Arabidopsis thaliana: one gene and its partner. The protein of the gene in region 1 interacts with the protein of each later gene in a pairwise test. Each region holds a gene or a part of one and is shown in the gene's direction. Other genes may lie near its edges.

Region 1 (16,675 bases):
CTGAACCGGAACGGGTTACCAATATGCCCAACCCTAATTAAGATTTCGCGAATCCGAATCTGCTGCCGAACTTAAATTCCCTTTTGTTTGTGAAAATGAAAACGAATTAAAGAGCATTAACTTATAAGTTTGGGATTGTATAAGTATCAAGAAAATCCAAAGTCAAAATAAAGGTAACCATTGGTTTTGAAAATGGTGAATGTTGTTGCTATTAACGGCGACACTCTTTAATTAGCTCAGAAGGGATTTAGCATGTGGGAATCTTGTGTTTCCCAATCAACGATCCATTTTTTTTTTTTGTATGAAAGATAATTTACTTTAACTATAGAAAATTCATTAGTATTCAATTTTGGCCTTCCAACAACGAGTGCATGAACGAGAGAACCTTCGTGGCAGGTGACTCCACTTGGCTGATGTAATTTAATTTGGAGATTCCTCAAAATCTAAGTTACTTTATCCTCTTATTTAATTTTTCTTTGTTTGAAAGTGGCTATATCATTCACGATATCCATTCTTGGTAATTTTCGATATCTATCCAGATTTTTAATATAATTAATAGTATGATCATAATTTCTGTTGGCGAAGAAGTAACTAAGGGTTGATTTTTTACAAAAAAAATATAACTATGTTTTAAGTAAACACATATCATGTGGTACATGAAAAAACTAGACGTAAACAACATTTTTTGTTCTATATTTTGTGCCTGAAATAGTTAAAATGATTATATCTCATTTACATGTTTATACACCTAAATATGCATACAGAATATACCTAAATATGTATATTTATGCATGCATATAGAATCAAAATTTTATTCACTACAATAAACTAGATACATACTATATGCAGAATAGTGTCTTTCAATTAAGTCACAACAATAAATTAGATAAATACTGATATAAATACTAGATGTATGTTTAAAAATTCTGTCAAGTGTTAGACTAATTAGACAAGCCAAATTAAAAGACACTTATATTAGATTTTATGGTAGATGAATCTTGAAACAGACTCCAGTTTAGAAGTGAAATAGATTTTATCTTCATCTGAATATAACAAAAATATATTTTTTGGGAGTTCAATATAAAAGATGAACACTCGAAGATGTAAATTTTAATATGAACTATGTCGAATATTATTATTTTCATGAGATTAATTCTCACGACTGTGAAACGTACAGTTTAAAATTATTTAGCTATGGCAATTCTATGAAATTTATTCTGGTTACTCACAAATTTTAAATAAATATGGTTTGATTTACAACAAATTTAGTAATTTTTCTTACATTTATCTCTCATTACTCCAATTTTGAAGCAAAATGTTTGTTGAACTCATACTCTCTTCGTTTTAAAATAAGTATTGTTTTGGGAAGTTAAATTTGTTTCAAATTAGTTGTCGTTTTATATTTTCAATGCATCTTTTTGATAAATTTTTTAATTTTTTTAATTGTTTTAGATGATTATTTAATATTATTAAATAAAATAACATATTAATTAGGAGTAACACAATTTTTATTTTTAATTTATGTGTAAAAACCTTTAAAAACAACTAATCCAAAATAGAAGGAGGATATGATAAACATCACCTTTATAACTATTTTTCCACCAATTCGAACATCAAAATTGTAGAAGATACAATGTTGTTGTTTATAAATTGTCAAATATCTAGTTGAAATAAAACAAATATTTAATGCACACAATATTCAATATTTGAAGTAGCCAAGTCAAATAAGCAAAAATGAAGTGCATGGACAGACAGAAAGAGAAAGATAATACGAATAATAATATTTAAACTACGACCAACTATAGCGTAGACCCCACCCACACCTCTCTAAATCAACGGCTGCGATACACCGGTACTGTTCTTGATGCGATAAACGCATATAAACCGTCGGATCTGATTTTACTTATAAACGAACGGTCGATGATTAGGTTGACTTACTCTAATCACCTCGTAATCAATTATTTTTTCTCATAAATCAACGGCTCTAATGCATCGTTACCATGTTCAATGCGATAATATGGTTTTGCACCGTCAGATCTGATTGATACCGATCTTTATATAATTTCAACGGTTGAGATTAATGGGTTGACTTTACATAGGGTAGATCAGAAAGTGGAGAGCACCCCAAAGCTAATAAACATGAGCCCCGCTCAGGCGCTGCTTCCTCCTCTCTCTCTATCATCATCATCATCACTTTCTCTATCTATCTCTCTTCTTAAAGCGGCCATTGGTGCTCTCCAAGTTCCATCTCAAGCTTTTCTTCTTGTGGGTGATTCAATCTCTCTCTTTCTATTTTTTTTTTCATTTCTGTTGATTTAGTGATCTTTGATTTGTGAAACTTTGTTTTTATCGTGTTTGTTTTTGATTTAGGGTTTTATTTTGTTGTCGGCGAGTTTTGATTTGATGATTTTGATGATTTTTTTTTGTTTGACCGTTTGGTTTTTGGATCTTAAGAGTTATGTGTGAAGATTTTTTTTTGTTTGTTTGGGTGAAGAATTTGTGTTGATTTCGATAATTTTGAGTTTGATTTTGAATCTTAGTAATGAAATTTGATTCTGTGAAGTGTGTATGATGAACTTTGAGCTGGTCCTAATTCTGATTCTGATAAAGATTTGATTTTTATGGTTTCTTTTGTAGGTTTTGTTGTTCTCTTAATTGAAAAACAAGATCTTGAACTAAAAAATGGAAACTGAAGACGATTTGTGCAACACCAATTGGGGAAGCTCTTCTTCGAAATCGCGAGAGCCGGGTTCATCAGACTGTGGGAATTCGACATTCGCAGGTTTTACGTCCCAGCAGAAGTGGGAAGATGCTTCAATCTTGGATTATGAGATGGGTGTGGAGCCTGGATTGCAAGAGAGCATTCAAGCAAATGTTGATTTCTTACAAGGTGTTAGGGCTCAAGCGTGGGATCCAAGGACGATGTTGAGTAACCTTTCTTTTATGGAGCAGAAGATTCACCAGCTGCAGGATCTTGTTCATCTTCTTGTTGGTCGTGGTGGGCAGCTTCAAGGTCGTCAAGACGAGCTCGCGGCTCAGCAGCAGCAGCTTATAACGACGGATCTTACTTCCATTATCATACAGCTTATTTCAACTGCAGGTAGTCTTCTTCCATCTGTTAAGCATAATATGTCAACAGCTCCGGGTCCATTCACTGGGCAGCCCGGTTCAGCCGTGTTCCCTTATGTAAGGGAGGCTAATAACGTTGCTTCACAGAGTCAGAACAATAACAACTGTGGTGCTCGAGAGTTCGATTTGCCTAAGCCGGTTCTTGTTGATGAGAGGGAAGGTCATGTTGTGGAGGAACATGAGATGAAAGATGAAGATGATGTGGAAGAAGGAGAGAACCTTCCTCCCGGTTCGTATGAGATATTGCAGCTTGAGAAAGAAGAGATTCTCGCACCGCATACTCACTTCTGCACGATATGTGGCAAGGGTTTCAAGAGAGACGCGAATTTGAGGATGCATATGAGAGGGCATGGAGATGAGTACAAAACAGCAGCTGCTCTGGCGAAACCGAACAAAGAATCCGTACCCGGGTCTGAGCCGATGCTGATCAAGAGGTACTCGTGCCCATTCCTTGGTTGCAAACGTAACAAGGAGCACAAAAAGTTCCAGCCTTTGAAAACGATTCTATGCGTGAAGAATCACTATAAACGCACCCACTGCGATAAAAGCTTCACTTGCAGCCGGTGCCATACCAAGAAATTCTCTGTCATTGCAGATCTTAAAACCCACGAGAAGCACTGCGGGAAAAACAAGTGGCTTTGTTCCTGTGGTACAACATTTTCAAGGAAAGACAAGTTGTTTGGTCACATAGCTCTGTTCCAGGGACACACGCCTGCAATCCCTCTTGAAGAGACAAAACCATCAGCCAGTACATCTACTCAGAGAGGGAGCTCTGAAGGCGGGAACAACAACCAAGGAATGGTTGGCTTCAATCTTGGTTCTGCATCAAATGCTAACCAAGAAACCACACAGCCTGGAATGACTGATGGGAGGATATGTTTTGAGGAGTCGTTCTCACCAATGAACTTTGATACATGTAATTTTGGAGGGTTCCACGAGTTTCCGCGACTGATGTTTGATGATTCAGAGAGTTCTTTTCAAATGCTTATTGCGAATGCCTGTGGTTTCTCGCCCAGGAATGTTGGTGAGTCTGTTTCAGATACTAGTCTCTAAGGCATTGCCATATATATGATAAGTTATGTAAGATGTTCTAGTTTTTAGCCTTTTAAGCAGTTCTTTTGTGTCTGTAATTTTGTTTTCGCCATAATAATAATATCAGAATAGCAGAAAGTTGGATTCTTTTTTTTTTCTTACTTATTATGGTTCATTTTGATTTAACCAGCCATGTCCATAGTGATAAACAAATTTAGTAACAAACTGCACATTTTGATTCATATCTATGGAAGTATATAACAAAATCAGATATGAACTACAATGTCTAAAATTACTTTCAAGCTCACAAAAACTAGCTATCAGCTAAAATGCGAGAGTGTGCTTTAGCTTGTCAGTATCATCCATGCAATGTTGAGAAGAAGCTTGACAATACTTCTGAATCATTGCTTGTATCTCTCTCCATCAGCCATTCATTTTGAATCTGTACCCTCACATCTCTATGATACAAAAATGATTGAAGAATCAGCAAGAATATCTTACAAGTGATGCATAATCAATCAAAATGAAGGGGTTTAAAGTGATAAAGAAAGAACCTATTCAAGGCAAGAACTTGATAGTTTCTTCTCAAGTAGTCTGCGTATTTCGTAAGGGCCTCTTGAGCATATGGTCTCCCCACGGTTCTTACAGCTGCTGCGCTTAGTAAACTCTCCAGAGAACCATGTTTTCTCACAAGTTTCATCGCTGTTTTCCTTCCAAACGCCGGGACCATGTGCTGAATCCCCGGAACTCCATCAACTTCATCACCCATTATACATCCTATCACAAGAACCAGCCGGATTGAGTTGGCTTTGACACTTAACAAAGAAAGTTGACAGAAAGACAAGCGTCAAGAGACATGTTTGTAGCCATAAGTCGATTTAGGCACTTACGAAAGCTCAAATCAGACTGTGGATCACAATTATATTGAGCATGGTAGTGCTTCAAAGTATAAAAGGACCATCTTCTGAGATCTGCCAATGGAATGACAATCTGAACATTTTCTGAGATCAACTGCTTAAAGTCTTTATCAGGCGATGCAATAACCGCACGATATCCTCTTTGCACAGCTTGTTCCATTAGCGTAGCTACTACATCGTCTGCTTCATGCCCTTCTATTCTAACAACCTAACACATAAACAAGAATCCAGTAAGATCATTCATTCACTTCTACGGCTAATTCACTTAACTATATACACGCTACAGAATTGAGCTAGTCTATTGAACATTGAGTATTAAACAGTTTTACCCACTGGCACATTGCATTTTCTAAGAACTTCATCAACAAACTGATGTGGCCTCTTAGAGTATCTCCCATGATTTGGTGATTTCCTATGAGCTTTATATGAAGGCAACAATTCTCTGCGTCGTTGGTTACCTTCTTCTCCATCGATAACCTACAAAAGGAACTATCTTTCATTGATCGAAGAAGAGAAAAAGCTTGCGGAAGAAAGAATCAAAGAAAAGGAGAGATTTTTACAGCTATGACAGGATCAGTGAGGCTGACTTGAGAGAAGAAGAGTGAAATCCAGTGACCAAAAGCTTGCGAACTGGGTTTGTTTCCTTCGTAGCAAAGTGGACTAACGTCTAAGAAGAATACCCTTTTATTCTTCTTCCTAATTTCTTCATTGTTGCCACAGAGAACATCTTTCTGAAGAACTTGCACATTACCTGTTCGATGAAATGTCTCAACGGAAGAGTGAGAAGAAAAGGAAGAGGACGAGGAAGAGACCCATTTCGTTCGTGAAGGTTGTGTCTTGTCGATGGATTTAGTTGAGAAGGAGAAGAGAGAATTGGGTTGAATAAATCCTACTGTTATCATCGTCGTCAACCTCTGCGTATGTTCTACAAGAATACAAGTCAATTGATCAAATATCCCATAGTCGTTTGTTATTAGTTCAGAGATTATTATGTTTTACGTAATGGGCCTTATAATGGGCTCTAAGAGTGTAGTCTCAATGATAGCACTAGCATCACCATTGTTGTAATTGGTCAAATTTCTTTTCTCTTTTCATTTCGATTTCCTCTCATATATAATTTTAAAAAGGATTGTTTAGATCGATCATCTACATTTTTATTTATAAATTATAATCTAATTTTTCTAGATTAGATAAGCGTTCATATAATTAGTTTTTAATTAATGTGTAGTTGACAACAAATAAAATTTTAACTCTCACAAGAATAAAAAATTTACAAATTAAATTAAGTAAGGTAAACTTATTGGATCAAATAAATCTATACAAATAAAAATCGTATTTTTTTTTGTTGTTGTCTGACTAATGTGTTATAAGTTTTTTTTTGTGGGTGTTATATTTACGGATGTCAAGTTGGTTAAACCAAATCCAACCAATCTATATCCATACAAATTTAATTTCTAATGGATAATGAGTCAATCTAATTCATTTAGCAAATACTTTGGATAAAACCATAAGTCATTTAAATTATTGAATTAATGGATAAATAAGTTTATTCAATTAATAACTTTTCTATAGATGATAAAAAAAAATATTCTATAATCTAAATAATTATCATTAATAGTAAATAATAACTATTATAATCATCATCATACTACCATCATCATTCGTGATCATCATCACTATTAATGATCATCTGATCACCATCATAAATCATGATCATGTTTTTGGTGAAAATATCACTGAATCACATTTTGAAAGAAAATTACGAAGTTATATTTTTGGCAGAAATATAAAGAATTACTTTTTTTTGCGGAAAACATGTTTTAGACGGGAAAATCATTGAACACATTTTGGCGGAAGATGCGAAATCATGTTTTTGACAGAGATACAAAATACGGAAACACGTTTTTGACGGAGAAGCAAAATAAAAGCCATCAATATAAAACATAGAACAAAATGCTTAGATGACATTCGGGTTGAGAGGCAACGAGAAACCCTTGTACATTTTTGATGGAACTCATCATATTATAATCCACACCCCCTTATAAGGCCAAATCACAACCACCACCGGGAATCCACCCCTGATGCCAAGGACATCCCAATAGCCATGGGATACATGCAAATTCACATCACAACTAAATGGAAAGGGGAACATGCCCTTGGAAATTTCTCCAAATATCGACAATATATACTTATAGAACCCCGGTTTATAAGGAATCCTTATAAACTTATAGAGGAAGCGAAAAGAAAAATCTAACATGAGATGTACCATAGATCCCATATGAAAGGTCTGATCACGGTGTAAGTATTAAAACTGTATTATATTACTCAACTTATATATGAATAAAGCATATGTTGATTTTGGTAAGTTAATGATTTTCTTATATGTAGTCAAAATATTAATGACATTTCTCTAAATTACTTTTATTAATTTTTGGTAACCTTATTAAATTTAGTATTCAAATCTAAGAAAGTATTTTAATACTTCTTACCTATAAATGTGATATTCTGTGCTCTCATGGTCGCGAGAGAAGTTGAGGAAAGAGAGAAAGTTGTATAATAATTGTTGGGATAACATATTTTGGTATACCGATCTTTAGATACGAGCTTATGGAAAGTGGCAACATTGTGAATGCACAACCTGAATTATCAGGCATAAGTAAGAAATTTTGACTTTTTATTTTATTTTAGTGAAAACTTGTTTTGGTTATAATGTTTTAGTTTTTGTTCGGCAGTTGATGGATCCAAGAGTTATATGTACGAGCAGTTATGGAAACTCTGTGCGGGGCCTTTGTGTGATATTCCAAAACTTGGAGAAAAGATTTATTACTTTCCTCAAGGCAATATAGAGCTTGTGAGTTCTCTCTCTTTTTTTTTTTTTTTTTTTTTCTCTCTCTCTCTCTCTCTTCTTTCTCTCTCCCTCTCTTCTCTCTCTCTCTCTCTCTCTCTCTCTTTCTTCTTTCTCTCTCCCTCTCTTCTCTCCCTCTTCTCTCTCTCTCTCTTCTTTCTCCCTATCTCTCTCTCCCTCTCTCTCGTGTATCAAAACCTTTTGACGACTTTTTTCAGGTTGAGGCATCTACAAGAGAAGAGTTGAATGAGTTAAAACCAATTTGTGATCTTCCTTCTAAGCTTCAATGTCGTGTTATTGCTATTCAACTTAAGGTATATCTCTATTATGTTTTACCGAATACGCATGATATATATTTGATTTCATTGTAAAAATAAGTAATTGGTTAATTGTTTGATGTTTGATTTTAGGTGGAAAACAATAGTGATGAGACTTATGCTGAGATCACTTTGATGCCAGATACAACTGTAAGTGAAAATTTAGTATTTCTCTTTTATTTTCAGTTAATTCTATTTTTTCTCTTATTATAGCTGATTGATTTTCTGATTTTGTTAAATGTTTAGCAAGTTGTAATCCCTACTCAAAATGAAAATCAATTTAGACCATTAGTTAATTCCTTTACGAAGGTTTTAACGGCCTCGGATACAAGCGGTGGATTCTTTGTTCCAAAAAAACATGCCATTGAATGTCTTCCTCCCCTGGTATTTAATGTTATAGTTTTTTAAACGAATTTGAATTTTAAACTTTCATTAGACATTACATATTAAATTTTGGTTTAGGATATGTCTCAGCCTCTACCGACACAAGAACTTCTTGCTACAGATCTCCATGGTAATCAATGGAGATTCAACCACAACTATAGAGGTAATAATTCCTTTTATTCATATAATTCAAACACAACTATTGAGGTAATAAATCCTAGAGAAGTAACTAATAATCTTCTTATCCCATGCAGGTACACCGCAAAGACATTTGTTAACAACTGGTTGGAATGCATTCACAACATCAAAAAAATTGGTTGCAGGGGATGTTATTGTATTCGTTAGGTATATTATTGGTTTTTTTTATATAGGGATCTTTTGGTTCTTGAGTTTTGGATTTTAAACTATTTACTTGTGGTTTCAGGGGAGAGACTGGAGAGTTACGAGTTGGTATCAGACGAGCAGGACATCAACAAGGGAATATACCTTCATCAATAATATCAATAGAAAGTATGAGACATGGGGTGATTGCTTCCGCAAAGCATGCTTTTGATAACCAATGTATGTTCATTGTGGTTTACAAGCCAAGGTAATTCAAAGAACCATTTGAACTCACTTTTAAGATTATATTGATTTATCAATAGATTAGTTCCTTCAACATGTAGGTTTATATATTTTTTGTGTCTTTATAAGTATCAGATCAAGTCAATTTATTGTCAGTTACGACAAATTCTTAGATGCTGTGAACAATAAGTTCAATGTTGGTTCAAGATTTACAATGCGGTTTGAGGGTGATGATTTCTCTGAAAGAAGGTAACATTAGATGAAAACTTTTTTCTACTTAAATATATTTGTAATGTTTAATATTATCTATGATAACACATTTTGTTCTATTGATTAAGATATTTTGGGACAATTATTGGAGTTAGTGATTTCTCTCCTCATTGGAAGTGTTCAGAGTGGCGCAACTTAGAAGTAAAATTTCATTCACACTTTAAAACATCATTTTAGGAATACGTTTTTGAATGCAATAAATTTAATCTTGCAGGTGCAGTGGGATGAATTTGCATCATTTTCGAGACCTAATAAAGTGTCACCCTGGGAGATCGAACATTTAATGCCTGCGTTAAATGTTCCGCGACCATCTTTGCTCAAGAACAAGCGTTTACGAGAAGTTAATGAAATCGGTATAAAAAGAGACTCTTATAATCTTTTATTTAAAGAATTAATCTTCTATTTAATGAATTTGAGATTCTTAAATACCTTCTCAATATTCCTGTTTTATATACAGGTTCTTCATCATCACATCTCTTGCCTCCTATATTGACACAAGGACAAGAAATTGGCCAACTAAGCGTGGCCTCCCCGATGAATATTTCTCTCACTTATCGTGATACAACTGAAGATGTTATGAATCCTTCTAGATTGCTAATGAGCTACCCTGTCCAACCAATGCCCAAACTAAATTACAATAACCAAATGGTTACACAAATAGAAGAAAATATAACAACCAAGACTGGCACTAATTTTAGGCTGTTTGGAGTCTCACTGGTCACTCCTTCAGTGATCAAAGATCCCATTGAAGAAATTGGCTCGGAGATTTCGAAACTTACTGAAGGAAAAAAGTTTGGTCAAAGCCAAACTTTGAGATCACCAACAGAGATCCAAAGCAAGCAGTTCAGTTCTACTAGAACTTGTACCAAAGTAAGTATAAGATCAATATATTCTTATTCTTTATATATGAAACTTTTTCTCATTGTACTCAACTCACGCAATCTTGATATGGAACAGGTTCAAATGCAAGGTGTAACAATAGAAAGAGCTGTGGATTTAAGTGTTCTGAATGGATATGATCAGCTAATACTAGAATTGGAGGAGCTCTTCGATCTCAAAGGCCAATTACAAACTCGCAACCAATGGGAAATAGCTTTCACAGATAGTGACGATGATAAGATGCTTGTTGGAGACGATCCATGGCCGTAAGTTTCTTTTCTATTTCTATCGATTGAAAGATTAGTTAAAATCTTGAGAGACGTTGATATTTCATTTTTTGTGTTGTTTGCATATAGTGAATTCTGCAACATGGTGAAGAAGATATTGATATTCAAAAGAGGAGGTCAAAAACTTGAAGTCCAGTAAGAGTCTCTCAAGTTGAATTAAGAATCAAAACATATGTAATAAAAGGGGTCGAAAATGTTACCGGTGTCTTGTCCTATTTTTATTTTTCTCTTATTTGTTGTTGCATGCATTTGTCTTATGTACTTTTGTTTCCATCGTCCATAAATAAAATAAAATTCCCTTGTTGTCGTGATATAGAGCTTTCTTTCTAATTCATACAATATACATATCACATCTACATTCTAAAAATTTGAGTGTAGTATTTTATTTTATGATATTTTGAAAAGAAAATTGTGTAACACGAAGTATATAGTCATTCAATAAATTAAAGATTTTACTCTACCTATTATTGTACTTGCAAAACCGGATATTTTAAAGACATAAACAAATGATACTGCTAAATATGTTTATATTTTTAGTAAATATTTCCTTAAATCTATCACTACAATTGTGTCACCACTCACAACTAGTTAATATATATATATAAATTTATGGGAAACTTGGGAATTCGGCCAATTCATATTCAATTAAAACTACTAAATCAAAAAAAGTATTGTGTGAGTAGATATTTCAACTGTCATGATTAAGAAAAATTTATAAATAAGGAAGTAGAGGCAGGAAAGATATAAAAAGTTATCATAGATCGGGTGTAACGGCATCACGAGTATTCAGATTTTGGTAAAGAGTTTTTTCTTCATTTCACATGCTTGAATTGTATTAAAACAGTCAATAATGTAGATTTTTTTTGGGAGATTAAGGAATAACATACTACTATGTGTTTGTTGCACAAGAAAATATACTTTGTGATTTGGAAATTTAAAATGTAACTTATATGAAAAATCAGAAATGTAAGCGGTTTTATGGTTATAAATATGGACAAAATTGATAATGTCAAGAAGAAGGAAGGAAGAGAAAAGGAGGGAGGACCAAATTGTATATTTCTAACTTAAAATATATTTTTTGGGTGAACAGAAATTAATATGAATAATCACTCTTGTAAAAATAAGTTTGGTTGCATAGATGCGATATATTTGTTTAATAAAAGTTTCAGTTTCTATATGCAAGAGTACTACAAAAAATAATAAAACATTCTATTTTCGAATGCATATAGTAAGTTTTATTGCATTCGAGTAACGAACAAATAAAATCATATTCAAATATACGTCATTGTTTGTACATAACAAAAAGTATAAAACACACTTGAACATATCGATAATGGTAGTAATGCATTTATACATTTTAAAACATCTTTGTTATCGACAGAGAAATTTTGAATATCTTTTTTCCCATATATTAGTTTACTAGTGTTAAAACTCGTATTACGTACGGCCCAAAATATATTAAACCATTTAACAAAGATAGAAATGTTTAGATGTTTAAACATTTAACAATACGATTTAATAAAGTCGAAAATGTTTAATTTTGATATATTGATGAATGGTGATGAAAAAAATGAAGAGTAAGCCAAATGGTTTGGAGAAAATCCCAGCCGAGTCTTTTGTTTCTTTAGCTTGTATAATACAAAATCTGAATAATTGGTGTGATGCGAGTAATGGCTTGACGGGAATCCACTTGGTGCGAGTAGAGGAGTCTCAATGGTATATGATCACTTGTAAAAGACCTAGAGAGCCTGCCAAATCAAAGAGAACTTTGTTAAAGATAATAAAGCATTCCAAAAACCGTTGTAAACAGTGAAACAACATTGTAATTTGTATAAATGATATGATGAAAAGAGATATACCCTTCATCGACTATGATTGAAATATGTATATAGCATATGAAAAACCATAAGAAATAAAGAGTTGGAAGTTTGAAAAGATTAAACAATTTCTTGGCTACTTAATAAAAAAACCAGAAATATGATATGAAACATAAGTAAATGGAGATGCAACAAACCTGCAAAATTGATAATAAAAAATCTGTTTAGGGTTGACCATAAGAGAAGTGAATTTACCTTCAAATTTGCTCTTCTTCGAAAATGTTTTGTGCTGCAACAAAGGATATATGCATAACTTGCCATTGTGTTGGAGTGAATGGTGTTTAAGAAGATTCATCTCCATGGTAATGTCATAGATACTGAAAACGTAAATATAAAATTCATTATTCTGAAGACTAAGAAAAAATGTGAAATAGATAATTTGATGAGACTTGTGATTGATGAAACAATGATGAACAAAGTGAAAGCAAATTTGTGAATTCCGAATGCATAATTTGAAAATCGAAAGAATTTAAAATAGAGAATTTGATGAGACATGCAATTGATGAAACGATGATGAACAAACCTAAACCATAATTGAGAAATACAAAAAACAAAACAAAATTGTAAACTGCAAAAAGAAGATGAGACATGCAATTGATGATACCCTAAAATCAGAACATATTATCAGGATTAATAATTTAGGTCCCTCCATAGTGAATAATCATACATTTTTTGCCAACAGTTTATTTTCCTTTGTCTTCTTTAGGCTCATCTCCTTCGTTTTCTCCCTTCTATTTGTTTTTGGGATAAAAATTCAAGGTCAAGGATATTAGACCTTTGATCTTTTATTCTTTTTTGAAGAATTTAGATGTGAAACATGAGTAAAATCCATAGGCATCTTCAACTGAGTTGACAAAAATAAAAGAAAAGAATATGACTAATCGGCATAGGATGTAGTGACAATTGATGAGGAAATTTATAATTGGAACCAGAGAATCATAAAACAGTTCAACAATTACCTGGCGAAGGAGAGAAATATTGATTAGAAATTAAAGTGAATTTATTGGAGTTAAATAGAAGATGAATCAGTTACAAAGTAGCTTGAACCTGGAGGTGTTAGTGGGAGCAAAATTAGGAATTAGAATTCTTTTTACATTTTTTGGAGATTTTATAGGACACGATAGTCGACATATGAGAGATAAAAAGAAAAAAAACCATGTAGAAAACTAAGAATTAGGATGGGCAATTGGACTTAAAAAAATTGTGATGGGCTTACAATGTATTTTTTCTGATTTCACGTAGCCCAATTTTGTTAGGCGGAGAATTGGTTTTTCTTTCTTTTGAGGCTTTTTTTTTCTCCACGATCTCAAAGTATTTTGTTTAATTCCTTTTACAAAAAATTAATTGAAAAATAAAAATCTAGGTAGCAAGTTTTTACTGGTTTAGTGACTTGTGCTTTATAAGATAAACTAGATTTTAACCCGCGGTATACCGCGGGACAATTTATTTTTTAAAAGTAATATATATTAAAATTTGTAAATTTTATCTTTATAAAATATTTATATTTTACAGTTTATAATTATTATTAAGTAAGGCTATACCACGAATCTATGAGACAATTGTTACAAAACTGAAGTTGTAACCCCTATTAAAACAGCATATTAATAATATTTTAAAATTTTATAAATATTGATTCAAATACATCCACCATATAACTCAATTCCAAAATAAAACCCGTTCTATAATTTCTTTACCCGTCCTGTGATTTGTTTTTTAAAGTAGTAATTTTTAAAATTTAAGAATTATTTTTTATAAATAAAAGTTTTGCAAATTATATCATTCTCTAATACATTTATATTTTATATATGGTAACATTATACATACCACATAACATTTTTGGTTTTATATAATCTTTTCTAAATTAGGATGATTTGATATGTTTAATATTAGTGGTCTTAAAAATAATAAATTAAAGATTTAACCGTATTGAAACGGTGTATTAATTATATTTTACTTTTTTATTAATGTTGATTCAAAAACCCGTCACTCCAAATCCGTCTTGCCAAAAAGCTATTTATTTTATTAATATTAATTTTATTAATATATGACTCTGAATTATAATCTAAACATTTTAGCTAATAACATAGGAGTATACCATTTTTATTTAATAGGGGAATGTACCATATGACCCGAATGCACTTTTACCCAATTCCACCAAAAAAGTCTTGCAAAAATACTATAGAGATAAAAAATGATAGTCGGTTTTGATAGGTATAAGATTAGCAAATATATTAGTTAGCTTAAATTAGTTAAAGAATACAAATTGAAAAGGTATATTACACTTTATTCGAATATAGTATCAAAACTTATATAACACAGAGATTTGATAAATTTTTAATTGTTGAATACTTTTTTTGTGCTAATTTTTATGTGATTAAGATTTAATTTAAGATTTAATTGATTTTGTATATAAAATATTAAAAGTAAATTGTGAGTTGTATATGTTTTGTTGATATTATCTATATTGTTTAGTGTTTAAGATTATACACTTGTAGTTTGATTGTTAATTTAAGAGTTTTACCTGTAGTATACCATCTTGTATTAATATCGATCTAAACCCGTCAATTCTAGGATTTTCTAGCTTGTATTAACAATTGAATTACATCATACACATAAAAAAATCTAATATGTTATTAATTATTGTAGTATATAAGATTATAAATTTTCAATATAATATGTATGAAATTGAATATAAATATTTTAAATTATAACTCGTTACTCAGTAGAAAATTTTCTTAAATCTATTTTTCATCCGTTATAATACTTTTTTATGTATTGAACAGTTTATATTCGTTTTCAAAAATTCAAATTATAGCATATGCGAAAAAACTCTAATTATTTTTTTATAATGATGATATTATTTTTCGCAAAAATAGAATCATATAAAGATGAGAAGTGAACTATAATAATTAATAAAAAATTAATATGATAATTTAGATATCAAATCTAATTTGTTGATTTTAATAGGTTACTTTTTTGGAAATTAATAATGTATTTCGTTTTTCTAATTAAATTAAATTAATTAAAATTTAAATATCAAATCTTATATGTTGATTTTGATTGGTTATTATTTTTGAAAATTAATAATATATTTCGTTTTTTATTAAATTTAATTAATTAAATTAGTAATTGATTTTATTATCCTTAAAAAGATAAATTAATTTACTCTTTAAAATTTTATTTCTAATGGCATACCTATGTAATTACTTACAAAAAATAAGGTTATATTTAAAATGTACTTCCCAAATAATATAGAAGGATGATTTTTCAGTAACGGTTTATATTTAATATAATTATGGATAATATGAGCATTTACCATATGACTAAAACTTTCATGGTGAGTGTAGCTGTCAAGTAGCCTATTCAGCACGTTTTTTGAAAGATCTAAAACATGGTACTGACTTGCCAAATAAAAGGGATACAATTATTTCGTTTAAAGTGTCAATTTCTTTTATAGTGGTATTTTCTGATTCATCAAGCAACCATCGACCAGTTCTAGCACTCAACACTAGTCATCTACTACGAAAACACCAATGAGTGAACTAACACCTTAATCATATTTTTACATCCGTGAAAATACCCAACCCATAACACGTAAATACACTCTACCCACAAACCAATGTATGAACATTCATGAACTCCATAGTAAGAATTCGAGAATCATTGGAGGTGGTTCAATGTCCCTCTTACCTTCTTTATCGGCTTCCTTCTTTGTGACAATGAGGGCTCTCAGCAGCTTAGTCTCATTTCTCTCCCAAAACATTTTCATTCATAAATGTTACACTCCTATTTATAGGGTCGGGTCTTACTCGTCCATAAACTCTGATTTTCATTTTCATTGTATTATACTTTCAGTATCGTTTTCTTTCTTGATTATGCATTAATTATTAATTCTTTTGCCTTTCATATACCAACATAACAGTTTATAAGTTATCGGCGTTCATTTCAGGATTTTATCTTGTTCTTAAACAATTATTTATGATTTTAACTGATAATTGGAAACACATGTAACAAAACGTCACAAAGTATGGTGACTATCTACTTACCCAGTTGATGATTATTTGTTTAATGTGTGTGTTTTTATCATATATTTGCTCGTATTAGTTTGTTTTGATATTTCTTTTGGTGCTCTATCAAGCTTCGACGAGCTTGTGTCTCTATCTTTTATTTATAT
Region 2 (15,564 bases), on another chromosome or scaffold:
TACATTTTAATTTTGTTTAAGAAGGGTTTTTAGGTAATTCTTATTGCATATGAAAGTAGAATAGGAAGATAGAGAATAAAAAAAAACTCTTATCTAAAATTTATATAAGAGTCTAATGAGACACATGTCTCTTTTATATTGGTTTATTTTTTTTTCTAAAAATTAAAATTTAATTATTTAGTAAATTATATTAAAATAATAATATATAGGTATTTAGAAGAAAAAATTAAGAGTCCTCCATTGAGGATGCATCCCTAATGGTAGTTTCTAAACAAAACTCTTAATATATAATAAAAAATGTATATTATTTAAATATTAGATGGGTTTCTTAAATTTGAAAAAACTTAATTCAATTGTTTTTTAGTTAAAAAACAATTGGGCTAAGTTTCTTTAAATTTAAAAAATCCTTCATTAAAAATTATTATTTATCTATACTTATACTTTAATTTATTTTAAAAAACCTATGTTAAGAAACTCCCATTAGAAATATTAGAAATGGTCTTAACTCTTAAGCTTAGAAAACTCCATTGAAAATGTTCTAAGGACTTAATTTAAAAGCCATGAAAGGTATAATTCCTTTTGTAACTAATAAATATAGTTAAATAATACCAGTAGTAGTAGTACGTGAAGAGCCGTCGGATGCAATCTGAATCGCAAAATAAGGAGGAATCTACGGACAGGATCACAGTGGAAAGATGATACAGAGTAGAGAGATTTCTTCTTCTTCTTTGGCAGATTCCAGCGAGGAACCAATTAGTAGGCCTGCTGTCAAATAATGTGACCCACAACTTCTTTGATTCCTTAATTACAACTTTTGATTAGTAACGCTTATAATGTCTCACCTTTTACTAATCAAAGTAATTACGAATCAGCTTTCCATAATCATATCATCGTCCAATTTTATTCATTACTTTGCTTTAGGAAACTCTATTCATCTTATTCCTTTCTAAATTGTTGATTAAAGTGATTTGAAAAGGTAATAATCTCGTGCATTTGTTGCTAATGTGCCAAAATATATTTGTTTTGGGGTTATTCACCATTTTCATGTGACCTTGTTGTATGTTATAACTTATAACCGTTGGGTTTTTTTTATAACTCTTTTTGGTAATATTATATATTTATATATATTAATATACAGTAGTAGTAGAAAACTAAATTATCATCAGTTTGTTGCTTTTCTTTAACAAAATAACCAATTAACTAATTAAATTATATTAACATTGTTTGACTGTTTGTAGTGGGTATACTAGTTTACTAAATAAAATATTTTTGTCACCAGCCGTACTACAATAGCCTAATGATACGTTAAATTTAATCATATTTGCGATCATTATATTGTGAGTTTTTACATTCTAACTAATAACAAAAAAATACTACCTTTGTATTAAAAGGTAGGATGTTTTAGCTAAAATGCATACACTTGAAAAAAATAAATTGTTTTTGAAAAGAAGTATTAAATAATTTAATTCAAAAAAATTCAGCCAATGATATAAAGGCTGCATAATACAAATGGTCATAAAATATCAAAATATTTAAAATTTGCATAAAAATTGGTAAAAAGTATATATTATTTTAAAATTTTTCTAAAACATCTTATAATTTGATATAAGGGAAGTAGTGTTTATGGAAAATCCCGACATATATGTAACCACATTTATGGAATCTCCGTCTCTCAATTTCCAGTTAGCTCACATACACAAATTGTATTTACTCGTTGACAAACGGTTTATATAGTTGATAATGCATTAGATGTATCCATAAGAAAGTCGACAAAATAACATTGAGGCGATCATTATAGTGTGAGTTTTTATTTCCTAACTAATAACAAAAATTTTAAGATAGTGATAAATCTTACTCTCTTTGTATTAAAATATTTTTTTAAAAAATAATTATTTAATATTTAATTCAAGAAAATTTGTCAATGATATAAAAGATTGCATAATAAAAATGATCATAAAATATCAAATGTATTTAAAAATTTGTAAAACATGATATATATTTTAAAAAAAAATCCTAAAACATCGTATATTTTGATATAAAGGAAGTAATGTCTATGAAAAATCCCGACACGTATGTAACAACATTTTTGAGAACTCGGTCTCTCGATTCGCAGTTAACTCGCATACACAATTTATACTTACTGCTTGACGGATGGTTTATATAGTTGATCATACATACATCCATTTGAAAGAGCATGTTGGTCTTAATTGCATCAAACATTCTTATCAACACAAAATGATATACATGGCATCAGATAAACCATCACGAACAAATACAATTTTGAAAGGTAATACACACAAATTCACTAACACTATTAAGGTAATACACACAAACATTCTTATCAATTTCATGATTTTCTATTAAAATGTCATTATAAAAAAAAAAAAACTGAAAGAAATTGGACTGAAAGAGAAATAAATTTAACCATAATTGTTTGGTAAAAATAGTAAAATATGCCAAAAATGAGATTTAAGAGGAAAATAAAAAGAAGAAAAAAAAAACAGCTGTAGTCTACATTTACATACAAGTCGTGGACTAACAGCTATACTACTACTAAGTACTAACTCTTTCTCTCTCTAAATATCAAATTCAATTTAATTTTTCTTCTGCAAATGGAACCACCGCCTTCTTCTCTGTCCTCCACCGCGGTGGCTTCCACCTCCATCTCCGCCGCCACTGCTCCTGTTCCTCCTCCTCTACCTCCTCACGTGACTTCTTCTTACCCCGAATCTCTCGACTCCTCCCCTCGTTCTCGCACCACCGATGGCTGGGATGACCTTCCTGCTCCTTCTGGCGGCGGCGGTGGCGGTGGTGGTAGCGCCGTCTCTTCTAAACTTCGTTTTATGTGTAGCTACGGCGGTCATATCCTTCCTCGCCCTCACGATAAGTCTCTCTGCTACATGGGCGGTGACACTCGCATCGTTGTCGTCGACCGTAACTCCTCTCTCCCTTCTCTCATCGCTCGTCTCTCCAACACGCTTCTCGACGGTCGTTCCTTCACCCTCAAGTACCAGTTACCTAGCGAAGACCTTGACTCTCTCATCTCCGTCACTACCGACGAAGATCTCGACAACATGATCGAAGAGTATGACCGTACCATTTCCGCTTCCAATTCCACCAAACCTTCGCGTCTCCGGTTGTTTCTATTCACCTCCAAGCCTGAGGCTACTCAATCTATGGGTCAGATCCTTGAGAGCTCTGCCAAGAGCGACGATTGGTTCCTCAACGCACTCAATAGCGCCGGTCTTCTCAATCGAGGATTCTCAGATTCTGATACTAACGTCAATCGTTTACTTGGTTTGGATGATGCTCTTGCTCTCCGTTCTAATTCCGGTGACAACAACAATCGAGATGGTGATGATGGCTCTGTTAAAAGCGCCAAGCAACAGCAACCTCCACCGCCGCAGCAGCAAGAACAACAGCAAGGAGGCCAAGATGTGAACTGCTTACCGGATTCTCCGATGTTAGATACATCCTCTTCTTTCGGCTCCACTTCTTCGTCTCCCTCGCTCGCCAATTTGCCTCCGATCCGTGTCCATGTAGAGGAACCAGGCGGAGTAAGGACTTTGCCAGATCAGAGAAATCTGGGAATTGAAGAACAGTTCGCACGATTCAACGTCGGGAACAAGCATCAGCTACATGACGACGGATTTGCTGCGATCTCTTCACCACCGCCGATGCCTGTCACAATCGCCCTTCCTGCTGCGCCTGTGACTGCAGCCACCGTCTCTAATGAGTTCCAGGCCAGGGTTTACTCAGATGACGAGAGATCCGATCACGGCGTGCAGGCTGGATACAGGAAGCCTCCGACTCCGCGATCGCAGCCGCAGAATCTACCGCCTCAGCAGGCTCATCAGCTGAAATCAAATAGCGGTGGTGGACACGAGCTGCCATCACCCAATTCCGTTTCCAGGTACTCTTTCTTCTTATATTGGAACCCTCATGAGCCTTAATTTGATGCTATAGAAGAACTAAGATTGGTCAGAACTCTGATTGTGTGTTTGCTATATAATGAATGCCTCAGTGATAGCAGTATGAGCAACCCAATGTTTCACCAAAGACCATCTGTCTATCAAGAACCAATTGCTCAGATACCTTCTGGCTCTACCGTTGTTACTGGTATGATCAATCCCTCAGATCCAAGCACACTTTTGTCACAGCATCAGAATCAGGACCCAGCCTATATCCTTCACCCCCAGTTTGAGCAACAATCTGCACAATCTCAGCCACAGCAGCAGTTCATACACACTGCTGCTCCTCCTCAATACATTCATCACCATCCGTCTAGCGGCCTTCCTGTCCCGACTTACATCCAGGTTTACCCTTCGCAACAGCCTCAACAGTCCTTCCATCAACACGCAGGTCGACTGGATCAGCAGCCTTATCCTGTTTATTATGTCACTGCTCCTGTCCCACCTAGGCCCTACAGTATGCCTGTGCCACAATCTCCAAGTGTGAGCGATGCTGCAGGGTCTATCCCCTCTAACCATCCCAACTCTACCATGATGCCTCCACCTCCTAACAACCACATGAGAAGTGTTAGCAGTGGCAAACCTGAGATGGGACAGGCTGGGGTTTACACAACAGCCCCAGGTGTGGGCGGTGCTCAGATGGTTCACCAGATTCCCACAAACCAGCAGCAATTCATGGGGTATTCGCAGATCCGTCACCCTCCTCAGTCTGGTTCAGCTGGGAATCCAAACTATGGATATGAATATGTCGACAATGCTCATACACAGATATACTACACTCAACCTATGGGACATGCACAGTACCAGACAATGACTGGGCCTCCACCTGCCATGGTGATGCCTGATGGTTCTGCTGCTGCTAAGCTTCCAGCTGAGAACATGACTCAACAGATCCGGAGTTCACAGCCATTGTGACACACACAAGGAACACATGAAGATGAACCACAAAATTTTGGAGGAAGAAAACCCCGGGTTGGTTTTTAAACGTATAAATATATAACTTTTACTTCTTTTTTCTTCTCTTCTTTTACAAGTTGCTGCATCAAAAAAAGAGTCTGGTGTCATGTTAAGTTTGGTATTATGGGTTGTGTTTAAAAGTGTTGTGTGAGTAAATTAAAAAAACAAATAAATAGTGCTTCTTGGTGGGATTTTACATTATATAGTTGCAATTGATACATGTAGTGCTTTACCATTTTCCTGGATCTTATATCATATTATTATCATTCATTTCATTTTGTAAATGTATCACTTTTTTGATCATCATCTCTCTATCTTGTTTTTTCAAGAGACTTTGAAGGCTATAATATTGTTCAGAAAGATTCTGAAATGTTATGTATAACATTTAATATTTGGAAGAATGTATGTCTGGCTTCTTGCTATCCATGGGAGCATAGGTACAGATATTAAAACATGTGTGTGGTCTTGCAAAAGTACACACAAACCCTACAACTTCTAAGAGACAAGGTGTGGGTGAAAAAGGTAGTGACAAAATCGATCTGTCTTGCAATTTAGCAACACAACTATCTCTTTTGAAAGAGATAGGCATTTGTATCTTTACCTAAACACCAAACCCAGTCCTTTTTATCTCTCTCTCTATACATGACTCAAAGATATTTTACTCTTGCACTACACTATTCTCTCATAAGCAACACAGAGCCTCACTTTGAATCGAGTTGTCAATAGTCCCAGATAATATTTCTGCAGTGTTCACAGAGTTGAGATGTGACTTTGTGCATCAGAAGCATTGGCAGACCTGGTTGGATTACAAGATCTGAACCAAATCTCTCTCTGTGGTCAGCTCCCCATCCCTTGCTTCAAACCAACTGGATCTTAATGGGTTTTTCTTGTCTTATGTCTCTTTCATGTCTGCAATTCTGTCTTTTTTTCTTTAACTCTTCTGACACTCTTTTAGCATCAGCTCATACTATAAATCTTTAGAAGTGAGCTCTCTTTTTCTCATCTCACTTTCCCTTCTCTGCATCTTTAGAAATAAAAAAGCATCAATGGACCCAAACACACCTGCAGACTTCTTCAAAGGTTCTTCCAAGTTTCATACATATTACTCACAGACCAAAAAGGGTGGTGGGGTAATCGATCTAGGCCTCAGCCTTAGGACCATACAACATGAAACTTACCTCCCACCGGCGCGAAGTGAGTTTTTTTTTTTTGCTGAATAGCCGTGCTTTCACCTCATCATTAGTTAGTTTTCTTAATCCTCAACTTGCTACCTTCAATATCTATATGTGAATCAAAGTGATAGGTCTCGACGGGTATGGAGAGCTCATAGACTGGTCGCAGCCCAGCTATAACAGCATTACACAGTTGAAGAGTGAGGACACTGGACACCAAAGACTTGCCCAAGGATATTACAATAATGAAGGAGAGAGCAGAGGAAAATATGCTTACGTAAAGGTAAATCTGGATGGCCTAGTGGTAGGGCGCAAGGTTTGCCTTGTTGATCAAGGAGCTTACGCAACTCTTGCTCTTCAGCTCAATGATATGTTTGGTAAGCCGTGTTCTGACCCCCAAGCTTCCAGCTACAAGTATGTTTCAGAAGGTTTTGCCACATTAATTCGAATCTGCAGGGATGCAGACCGTGTCGGGATTGAGGTTGTTCCAGACTGAGTCTGAGTTCTCTTTGGTCTACAGAGACAGAGAAGGCATTTGGAGGAATGTTGGGGATGTTCCATGGAAGTAAGCTCTTACATTTTCTCTATACAAAAACTAAGCATTTTAAGTTAACCACTTTGTAATTTGTCTGAAACCTGTAGGGAGTTTGTCGAAAGCGTGGATCGGATGCGAATCGCAAGAAGAAACGATGCTCTTCTTCCCTTTTAAGCTTTTAAGTCCAAGCTTCTTCTGGGGCGTTCACTGATTATCTAAGATCCAAATTAGCTCACTTGTGGTTCTATTGTTCAATATCTGATGTAATGGAAGCTTTAAGCTATAAATACGATTATGAAGAGAGGGACATCTTAATAACCAACCACCAACAAGACTGGGACAAATAAAAGAACAAAATAAAACAAAACAAACGGTAACCACATTAGTGTCATCAGGCTTATGCTTCAAAATACATTGCAGCTTCAAATTTCAAAACAAGCTTTATGTGCAATCTCTAGATGTCTCAATCGCCGGCCACGGGTAATCTGTCGAGCGTATCAGAAACGTGCCTCATGGTAGGCCTTTTCTCTGGACTGCTATTCACGCAACTGATTGCAATCTTAAGAACAGCAACAATCTCGTCTTCCGTCTCTGCCTCAGGAGCCAAACAAGGATCAAGAACATCACACAATGGTTTCTTCTCCTCAATGCATACCTGTACCCACCGCACTAGATCCATTTCCGATGTCCCCACCTCCACTGCGGGAGACCTACCCGCTATCAATTCCAGTAAAATGATCCCATAAGAGTAAACATCCCACTTCTGTGAAGGTTTTACCATCTTGAGAGTCTCAGGTGCTTGATAGTAGGATCCAGAAGAAGAGTGAGCAGTGAACTCCGAAGATACGCTCTTGTGATGGTGTTGTTGCCTCTCTTGCGGCTGTTGATCCGTTTGGATGATTCTGTTAGACTGTATGGTCGGAGAAGATCCTCCAGCGATGTTAGCTAACCGTGCTAGTCCAAAATCTGAGATCTTAGGTTCCATGTCCTGTCCAATGAGAATGTTGCTTGGCTTGAGATCTCCATGGACGTATTTCTTGGGACTAAACTCATGCAGATAAACAAGCCCTGTAGCAATCCCTTTCATTATCCTCAACCGTTCAGACCATGTCAACGGAGCGATGGTCATCATCCCCGGCTTTCCTGCACATACACACACACACATTTACGATGATGTAACTGAATAATGCATCTTGAAATGAGAAAAGAGTGACTCACCGTGGAGGGCGGTTGCGAGGTTACCGTTGGAAACATAGTCGTAGATGAGAAGCTTTTCATCGACAGACCAATAATAAGCTCGAAGACTAGCAATGTTAGGATGTTTTAGTTTCCCTATGGCTTCAACTTCTGTCTGAAACTCCTTGAATCTCTGAGACCCTCCTTCACCCAATCTCCGTACGGCCAGTGTGAGCCCGTTCTCTAGAACCACTTTGTAGACAATTCCGATTCCGCTCTTCCCCAGAACGAAAGCTGACGCCTTTAGCAGCTCCTCCAGGTTAAACGCAACCTGAGCGTCGAGGGGAACAATGTCGCAATGCTCCACGTTTTCAGATGGCGTTTCGGATTCGTCTTTACGGAAACACAGACACTCAGAAGCCCTTTTCTTGGATTCTTTCTCGACTCCGAATTGGTTCTCGCGGTTACAAGCGCAGAACTTTGAGTAGCAGTAAGTGAAAAGCAAACCCACAAGGCAGATACCAAACACGTCGCAGAGAACAATGGCAATGACGGCGCTTTTGCTCAAACCACTTGATTTCTGTTTGGTTTCAGAGTTAGTACTATCAGAATCCTCAGGTGGGTTGTTGCTTGGGATAAAAGGGTAAGAGGCATTGAGGCCAAGTTGATATCCTTGGCAAAGGTCCTTCAATGGAGGCCCGCATAGACCAGTGTTGCCGATAAACGCTGTTGGTCCTCTGTTCATAAGAGCACCGGTTTGAGGAATGGGACCGGAGAGATTATTGAAAGTGAGATCAATGTAAACCTTTTCAGGAAGATCTCCAAGGGCAGGTGGGATTGAGCCGGTGAAGTGATTATGAGAGAAATCAGCAGTTCCTTGAAGGTTGGAGAGGTTTCCAATGTCGCTGGGGATGGAGCCGTTGAATTGGTTGAAGGCGAGGTCGAGTTTCTCCAGAGAGACGAACGCTGAGCCAAACCCATCAGGCAAAGGACCAGACAAGTTGTTTCTGCTGACATCGAGTGTTTTAAGTCTGTTGCATTGCAGAATCGAAAGTGGTAACGACCCGTTGAAGAGATTCTGTGACAAATCTAAGGTCTGAAGAAGCTTCAGCTTACCGATCTCTTCCGACAATGACCCATCAAAGGAATTGCCGTAAAGGACTAGACTTTGGAGTCCCTGAAGATGGAAAAGCTGAATAGGCAACGACCCATAAAACCTATTGCTCCGGAGATTCAAGTGACGGAGACTGGAGAGAAACCCTAGAGACGAAGGGAGAGAACCGTAAAGATTCTTCCTTGGAATGCTTAGAGACACCACCCTGAGTTCTTTGCAAGTTACACCGTTCCACGAACAGGCGTTCTCGTCTGATGAGTTCCAATTGTTAAGAGAACCTGTAGGATCATCGTGAACGCTTTGTTTAAACGTTAAGAGCGCAAAGCCTTCGTCGTTTAAGCCACTTATGACAGTCACATTGCAGAGAAGAGCAACGAAGATGATCAGCGAGGCCAACATTATCAGATGCAAATTAGAACAAAAAGACGAGTGTTGGCTTTGTACAAAGCAAAGAGAGATAGTAGCAAGAAGAGTGTGATATTGATGGAGTGAAGAGTAAAGTGAAAAAGATACTCTCGTTGAAGAAAAAGGAGAAAGAAAGAATACAAAAAGTAGAGAGAAAGAGAGAGAGAGCTCTGTTTTTGCATTGGGAGAAGAGAATTAACAAAAAAAAAAGAAATGACCAAAGAAAGAGGTGAAAGTTGGAGAAAAGAGAAGGCCATGGCGAAGTAATCCATACGCTAATTTGACCACTAATCTAATGGGTTTGAATGGTAACAAACTTAAGCTTTATACAGTTTTGAATCGATCATAAAAACTTTATTAAAAGTGTTACAAAAAGTTTTACTTTTAGCTTTTTTGTACAGCTTTTTTATACAGCTTCTTCTAACAGTTTTGCACTATTCCGATAAAGCTAATAGCTTCAGCTAACAGGTAAAAAACTTGTCCAGCTTTTGGTTACCAATCAGACCCAATATCTTTGTAATCTCTCCTATATACAAAATGTTACAAATGCAGATATCTTTATTCAAATAGTTACATCTTGTAATACCTTTTGTCATGATTGTTGTTTTATTCCGAAAAGTAATATATTGGGGTCCTTTGATTGATCTGTCAAGTGTCAATGTAGGTAACATTTACAGTGTTTGTCCTTTTCTATTAATCTATCTTGTCAATATATTACTACTACAGTAGTATCATTCATTTTTTATTTCTTAGATGATGTTGCTCTAGCACGAAACTCCATAAAATACCAAGTGATGCATATTAATAGAGTGTAGCAAGTGTAGTAACAAGTAGTAACAAGTGTAGTTTCAAATGAGCATTGAACAAACTAGTTACGATTGGGAGAGAGCAAACATAACAGTGGAGTTTACTAGAGAAGAAAGGTGCCACAAGATACCACCACGCTCTTCCTGCTTTCTTTATTCCTCGAGTCTGCTTTTACAGTACTAGTACTACCTCTTTTATATCTTACTTTACCATATAAATCACAGCTCATCTTTCTTATTTTACTTAGAATAGTAGCTTGACATGTTTTTTCGCAAGAAGAAGATTCATATAATAAACGATTATAAATGTGGTTTAGATTTAGCTAAAGCCTTAAAAGGGTAAAAGGAGAGGACATGTGTACAAACATTAGTCCGGCCCTTATTGTCGTTATGGTGATACGATAAAATTGTCGATAAGTAGACTTGGTGAAGTGTGATGTCTCCTAGTTTCTTAGGATAGAGAGCCCCAAAAAAACCTAAACCTAAACCCAGAGAGAGTGTGCCAGAGTGGGCCTATTTTCTCCTCACGGACTAACGGCGACGACTCCGAGGCTACATACTAGTAAATCAAACAACTTGGGTTTTAGTGCAATATAAAATTATTTTGGGCATAAATTGTAATTATGGAAACGTTTGGGCATGAATTGTTATTACGGAAACTGTTGGGGATAAATTGAAATTACGGAAACTTTGGGGGGCTTAATTTGGCTTTTTGCTGGCACGGCAATGGGAGGAGACGAAACCGAGAGAAACAATGGGAGACGCTGCGATCCGTACCGTCGTCGAAGCCATTCACTCATCTCCGACGCAGGCCGTCGTCTATCTTTGCGGCGGTGCCTCTCTGGTTTCACTCTCTCTCTTTATGATTGATTCGTATATACACAAGTATGTGATTGCTCTGTGCTTTTGAGTGATCGAAATTGAATTCTCTTTCAGGCTTTAGGTTGGTTGATGTCGGTTCCTGGAGCGTCGAACACGCTTCTCGAGTCCGTGGTTCCTTATTCGAGAGTATCTATGGTTCAATTACTCGGCAGGGTTTGTTCATAAACCTCTCAATTTCATTATAGCAATCGATGTTTCTCTTCTCTCCATTAATCAGCTGATTTTCGTTCGCTCTCTTTTAGGTTCCGAGCCAACACTGTAGCCAAGCATTGGCCAAGGAGATGGCCTTGTTAGCCTACAATCGGGCGCTTAAGCTCTCTAAACCAGGTACTTGCTCTCTTTCTTCACTTCACCATCCTTTGTTAGCAAGAAGTCCTGGAATATAGTAATGTGGATTGGTGTAACTTCCTTAATCTTGTGGATAGGATATCCGGTTCTCGGTGTCGGGTTTACGGGATCATTGGTAACTTCTCGTCCTAAGCGTGGAGATCACAGGTTATGCAATTTTGTTTCCTGCTCTTTATAGTAATATACTTGTTTGCTTGAAATGAAAGCTATCACAATAAGCTAGTTCTCTAGCATGGCCCTTTATTCTTTCTGTCACTCATAGTTTTTGTTTGTTGCGCGAGAGTATAGGTTCTTTTTGTCTATGAGAGCATCCGACCGGATTTTGGAATCTTCAGTCACTCTAACTAAGGTGATTGCTGCAACCTTCTCTCTCCCATATTGCTTTACTCTTTTCTATCAACTACTCAATGTATGTTATTCTTATTGTGGAAAACTTTAGAACTTACGGAGCCGAGAAGAAGAAGATAAGGTGTCAAGCTGTGCACTGATCCAGGTGTGTTACTAAGCTAATTACAACCTGGTACTAATCTGCCTAGGCCATTGCTATCTGATTTTCCTTTCTCTAGTTTTGTTAGGAATAGTGACAAGTTAGTTTGGTTACTGGTATTACAAACAAGTACCTGCAGACATTTCTTTTTCATAATTTTGTATTATTTAGACTATATATTCTTCTAGGCCAGTTTTAATCCAAAATTTCCACATTCTCCAAACGCATTGTTTTCTGAGGTTCATCATGGACTGAGTTGTTAAAACCTTTTCTGGTCATTATCTTAGGCTATGGCCAAGGCATGCCAAGTTTCTGGGACACTTGACTCTGGCTTGACCGAGTCTGAGGTGCCTTATGAGTCTGAAACCCACTTTACTGAAGAACAAGAACTAGAGCAGCTTATAAATGGGCACTTGTGCTGTAAGATTTATCCATTTTCTGGGGGTAAGATTTTGGTCATTTGTCCCAATGAAACTTTAGAATTTTTTTTTTCAAACTTCATCTGGCATTTGTTGCCACTAATGATGTAGTTCTAACTTTGTGGCAGAAGCACACGGGTCTGATGAAGACAGAAAGATTATACTACCTGGCTCTTTTAACCCATTACATGAAGGTCATCTCAAGCTGTTAGAAGTTGCTATGAGGTAAGCTAGTATTTGCTTAACGATAACGAGTACCTGTTTCTCTTTCGGGTGAACATGTTTAAAAGAATAACCGTTGTTAATGTCAATCATTATGTATAACCTGAGTCTTCTGTGTCTTTTGACTCTTCGCTGTCTCTATGTTTCTTAGTTAAATCTGATATGCTATATTATGCAAGAGTAGTAATTGATAATATCTTTCGTTGTGGCCACATGTTGTGACTGTATGAATTGATTCCGTTGTTGGATTTTGGAGAGGCCTCTGGCATTTTGACAATTTTACTATCTCCAAACAACAAATCAGATAACTGTTCTTTTTCTCTGGAAAATAAAATAGAAACAATCTCACAAGCAGATTTGTTGATGCAGTGTTTGTGGGGGCGGCTACCCATGTTTTGAAATATCCGCAATAAATGCCGACAAACCACCGCTTACAATTGCACAGATTAAAGATCGTGTCAAGCAATTTGAAGTAGTTGGTAGGCCGGATCTTTATTTTTCACTATCTATTTATCTTTTCAATCTTGTGCACCACTTTTTTGGTATCTCTATGATCCAATTGTTTCCAACTAGAGAAAGACCAATCAGTTTTATGATCCAGAGTCGAGCTATAATTGTTTCCAATGCATTTATTTTGTCTATATGCTTGTGCCATGATTTGATATTGGTTTAGTATCCGGTTGGCAGGAAAGACGATAATAGTTTCAAATCAGCCATACTTCTACAAGAAAGCTGAACTCTTCCCAGGAAGCAGTTTTGTAATTGGCGCTGACACTGCAGCGAGGCTTGTCAATGTATGTAAAAACTGAACCGTTCCCTGATCCTCTTTTTTTTTTTTTTTTTTCCTTACAGTTATATTTATACACTACCTGTTGTGGTGAGCGACCTGAAACTTAGTAAGACATTTGAAGTGCTCTATATCTTCCTGTTCCACACTATCAAAGAAGATTAAGAAACTGAATTTCTTGCAGCCAAAGTACTATGAAGGAAGCATCAAAAGGATGTTGGAGATACTTGGTGATTGCAAACGGACAGGTTGCACTTTCCTTGTTGGTGGCCGCAATGTAGATGGTGTATTTAAGGTTTGACCTAAGCACTAGAATCTAGAGCAATACAAATTTAGTCCCTTTGAGAGTTGTCTATGAGATTGTATGCCTAATGCCTTATCCTTGCTCCTCTGCAGGTTCTTGAAGATGTTGATATTCCAGAGGAAATAATCGACATGTTTATTTCAATTCCAGCAGATATATTCCGGATGGATATATCCTCTACAGAGATAAGAAAAAAACAAGGGGGTGGTACGAACTAATGACTTCTCAACCCGCTTGAAAGTCTTGGCTCGCAAGACAATTTATTTAGTGCAGTTACTTTTTGATTTGATATGTATTGTGTTGCATTCTGTTCTTATTATGGAATCCGGATCAATGGTATGAGCATTTGCACATGACATCGAAAGAGCATTGCAGAGTTGCATGGGAAACGTTTAAAGAGTGCGAATATTTGTGAATTGTGACAGAGAAGCCTTGTTAAATATTTATGAATGTGAGCTGATTAGAATCTGTAATCATATTACCAGGGCTCTACCTATAAGTAGGGTTAGTGAAAATCTTGTAATAGTAGTACCGAATGATCAAATTGTGCTGGTTATTTCACAGGTCTCTGCAAATATAACAGTTTAAGCTTCATGTACGAAAATGCTATCAGCGCTAATGAATATTAAAGCATTACATTGTGCTCTTATTGGGCTTTTCCAATATATGTAGGCCTATAATCGTTTGGAAACTAATCTCAATGGATACTTGGAAAATATAAAAGTCGGCCCAAAAGTGAAGCGCGTGATTTTTTAACTGCAAAACGCAAGTCGTTTACCGACCCTCAGATTGAGCGCGTCGACGCCACCTCCCCGAAATCTGTGGGCACCCATGCAGAAATTTGCCGTTTTTCGTAAAATTCTAAAAGTGGGCGCGTGTGGGTCGTTTTAGTTTGAGGCAAGGAAAAAAGAAGAAGTAAACTTGCATTTATCAACTACATATACTTTTTTGGTAAGGATTTTGAGAGATTTTGAGACAAAAATCTTAAAATAGTATTTAGCTTTTATTTTCTACAAAATCTTTTTAAGACAATTATTGTTCTAGATTTATATCTTTAAGTAAATTTTATCTTTATTTAACTATATTCAATTAATTGCTAATTTCCTAAAATCTTTTTATATACATTATATATAAATGTATGATTTTTCTTTCACTTTTATTTGTTCTGATCTCTAATTTATTTTGATTTTTATATAAAATACATATAGTTAATAAAATATTAAATTTATTGCGGCATATGTAATTTAAATTTTTTAAAACAAACATATATTACTTAATCGATGAAAAAGTGTATAAGGTCTCATATTGCTTAAAACATTGTGCAATAAATTATATTCATACTATTAAAAAGATCAAAATAATTTTGAATACGAATTAGCAGGAAGCTTGATTTATCAGAAATCCAAAATTAAAATGTTATTCGGTTTAGTCCGGTTCTTTATTTTAAAAAATAAAATCATTAAAAATTCAAAAGATTACAAATATTTAAATTTTATTAAATATTAAAAATTTAAGACTTTTAAAAAGTTAGACTTTATAAAACATTTTAAATATTTCTAATTTTATGAAGATTTAAATATTGAACTTTATAAGAAGTTTAAATATTAAAAATACTTAAAAATATATTAATATGAGACGGTATTCTACAAATGAAATCTTAGATATAACAATCAAAATAAAATTATAAAGTTTGGATCGATATTAAAACTTTTTTTTAAGTTTCAAATATTACTTTATAAGAAAATAAAAAATAATGTTTAATTTCAAGATATGGGGTTATATGGTGGGACATGTTTGAGTTGATATTAATACGAGATGGTATACTATGGGCGGAATCCTAGAATTAACAATCAAAATATAATTATACAATTTTAAAAACTAAACAAAAATAACAATATTAACAAAACAAAAATAAATTAAAACTTCAAATTTTTTAGTTATAAAAATTATTCCAAGTTGTATCATACATAGAAAAAAAT

What was found.
Region 2: the proteins of ARF22 (region 1) and IAA32 interact in a two-hybrid assay, tested with the Arabidopsis thaliana proteins (2 studies listed by BioGRID).

The regions. Positions count from the first base shown.
Region 1 is NC_003070.9:12,548,320-12,564,994, forward strand, and holds ARF22 (auxin response factor 22), read left to right. Parts: upstream 1-7,685; coding exon 7,686-7,734; intron 7,735-7,810; coding exon 7,811-7,929; intron 7,930-8,141; coding exon 8,142-8,237; intron 8,238-8,333; coding exon 8,334-8,390; intron 8,391-8,486; coding exon 8,487-8,624; intron 8,625-8,702; coding exon 8,703-8,787; intron 8,788-8,878; coding exon 8,879-8,969; intron 8,970-9,048; coding exon 9,049-9,213; intron 9,214-9,323; coding exon 9,324-9,437; intron 9,438-9,526; coding exon 9,527-9,599; intron 9,600-9,672; coding exon 9,673-9,811; intron 9,812-9,915; coding exon 9,916-10,328; intron 10,329-10,415; coding exon 10,416-10,603; intron 10,604-10,693; coding exon 10,694-10,763; downstream 10,764-16,675. Other genes in the region: STOP1 (C2H2 and C2HC zinc fingers superfamily protein), read left to right, coding at 2,683-4,182; AT1G34380 (5'-3' exonuclease family protein), read right to left, coding at 4,520-4,619, 4,716-4,938, 5,052-5,286, 5,412-5,555, 5,639-5,980. UniProt on the Arabidopsis thaliana protein: Auxin response factors (ARFs) are transcriptional factors that bind specifically to the DNA sequence 5'-TGTCTC-3' found in the auxin-responsive promoter elements (AuxREs). Could act as transcriptional activator or repressor.
Region 2 is NC_003071.7:112,411-127,974, forward strand, and holds IAA32 (indole-3-acetic acid inducible 32), read left to right. Parts: upstream 1-5,607; 5' UTR 5,608-5,764; exon of another isoform or gene 5,765-5,958; 5' UTR 5,959-5,974; coding exon 5,975-6,122; intron 6,123-6,225; coding exon 6,226-6,477; intron 6,478-6,556; coding exon 6,557-6,665; intron 6,666-6,742; coding exon 6,743-6,809; 3' UTR 6,810-7,098; downstream 7,099-15,564. Other genes in the region: PDE331 (Octicosapeptide/Phox/Bem1p family protein), read left to right, coding at 2,613-3,913, 4,025-4,886; AT2G01210 (Leucine-rich repeat protein kinase family protein), read right to left, coding at 7,099-7,778, 7,854-9,324; AT2G01220 (Nucleotidylyl transferase superfamily protein), read left to right, coding at 10,891-10,980, 11,073-11,171, 11,261-11,345, 11,444-11,513, 11,655-11,715, 11,806-11,859, 12,141-12,297, 12,401-12,497 and 4 more. UniProt on the Arabidopsis thaliana protein: Aux/IAA proteins are short-lived transcriptional factors that function as repressors of early auxin response genes at low auxin concentrations.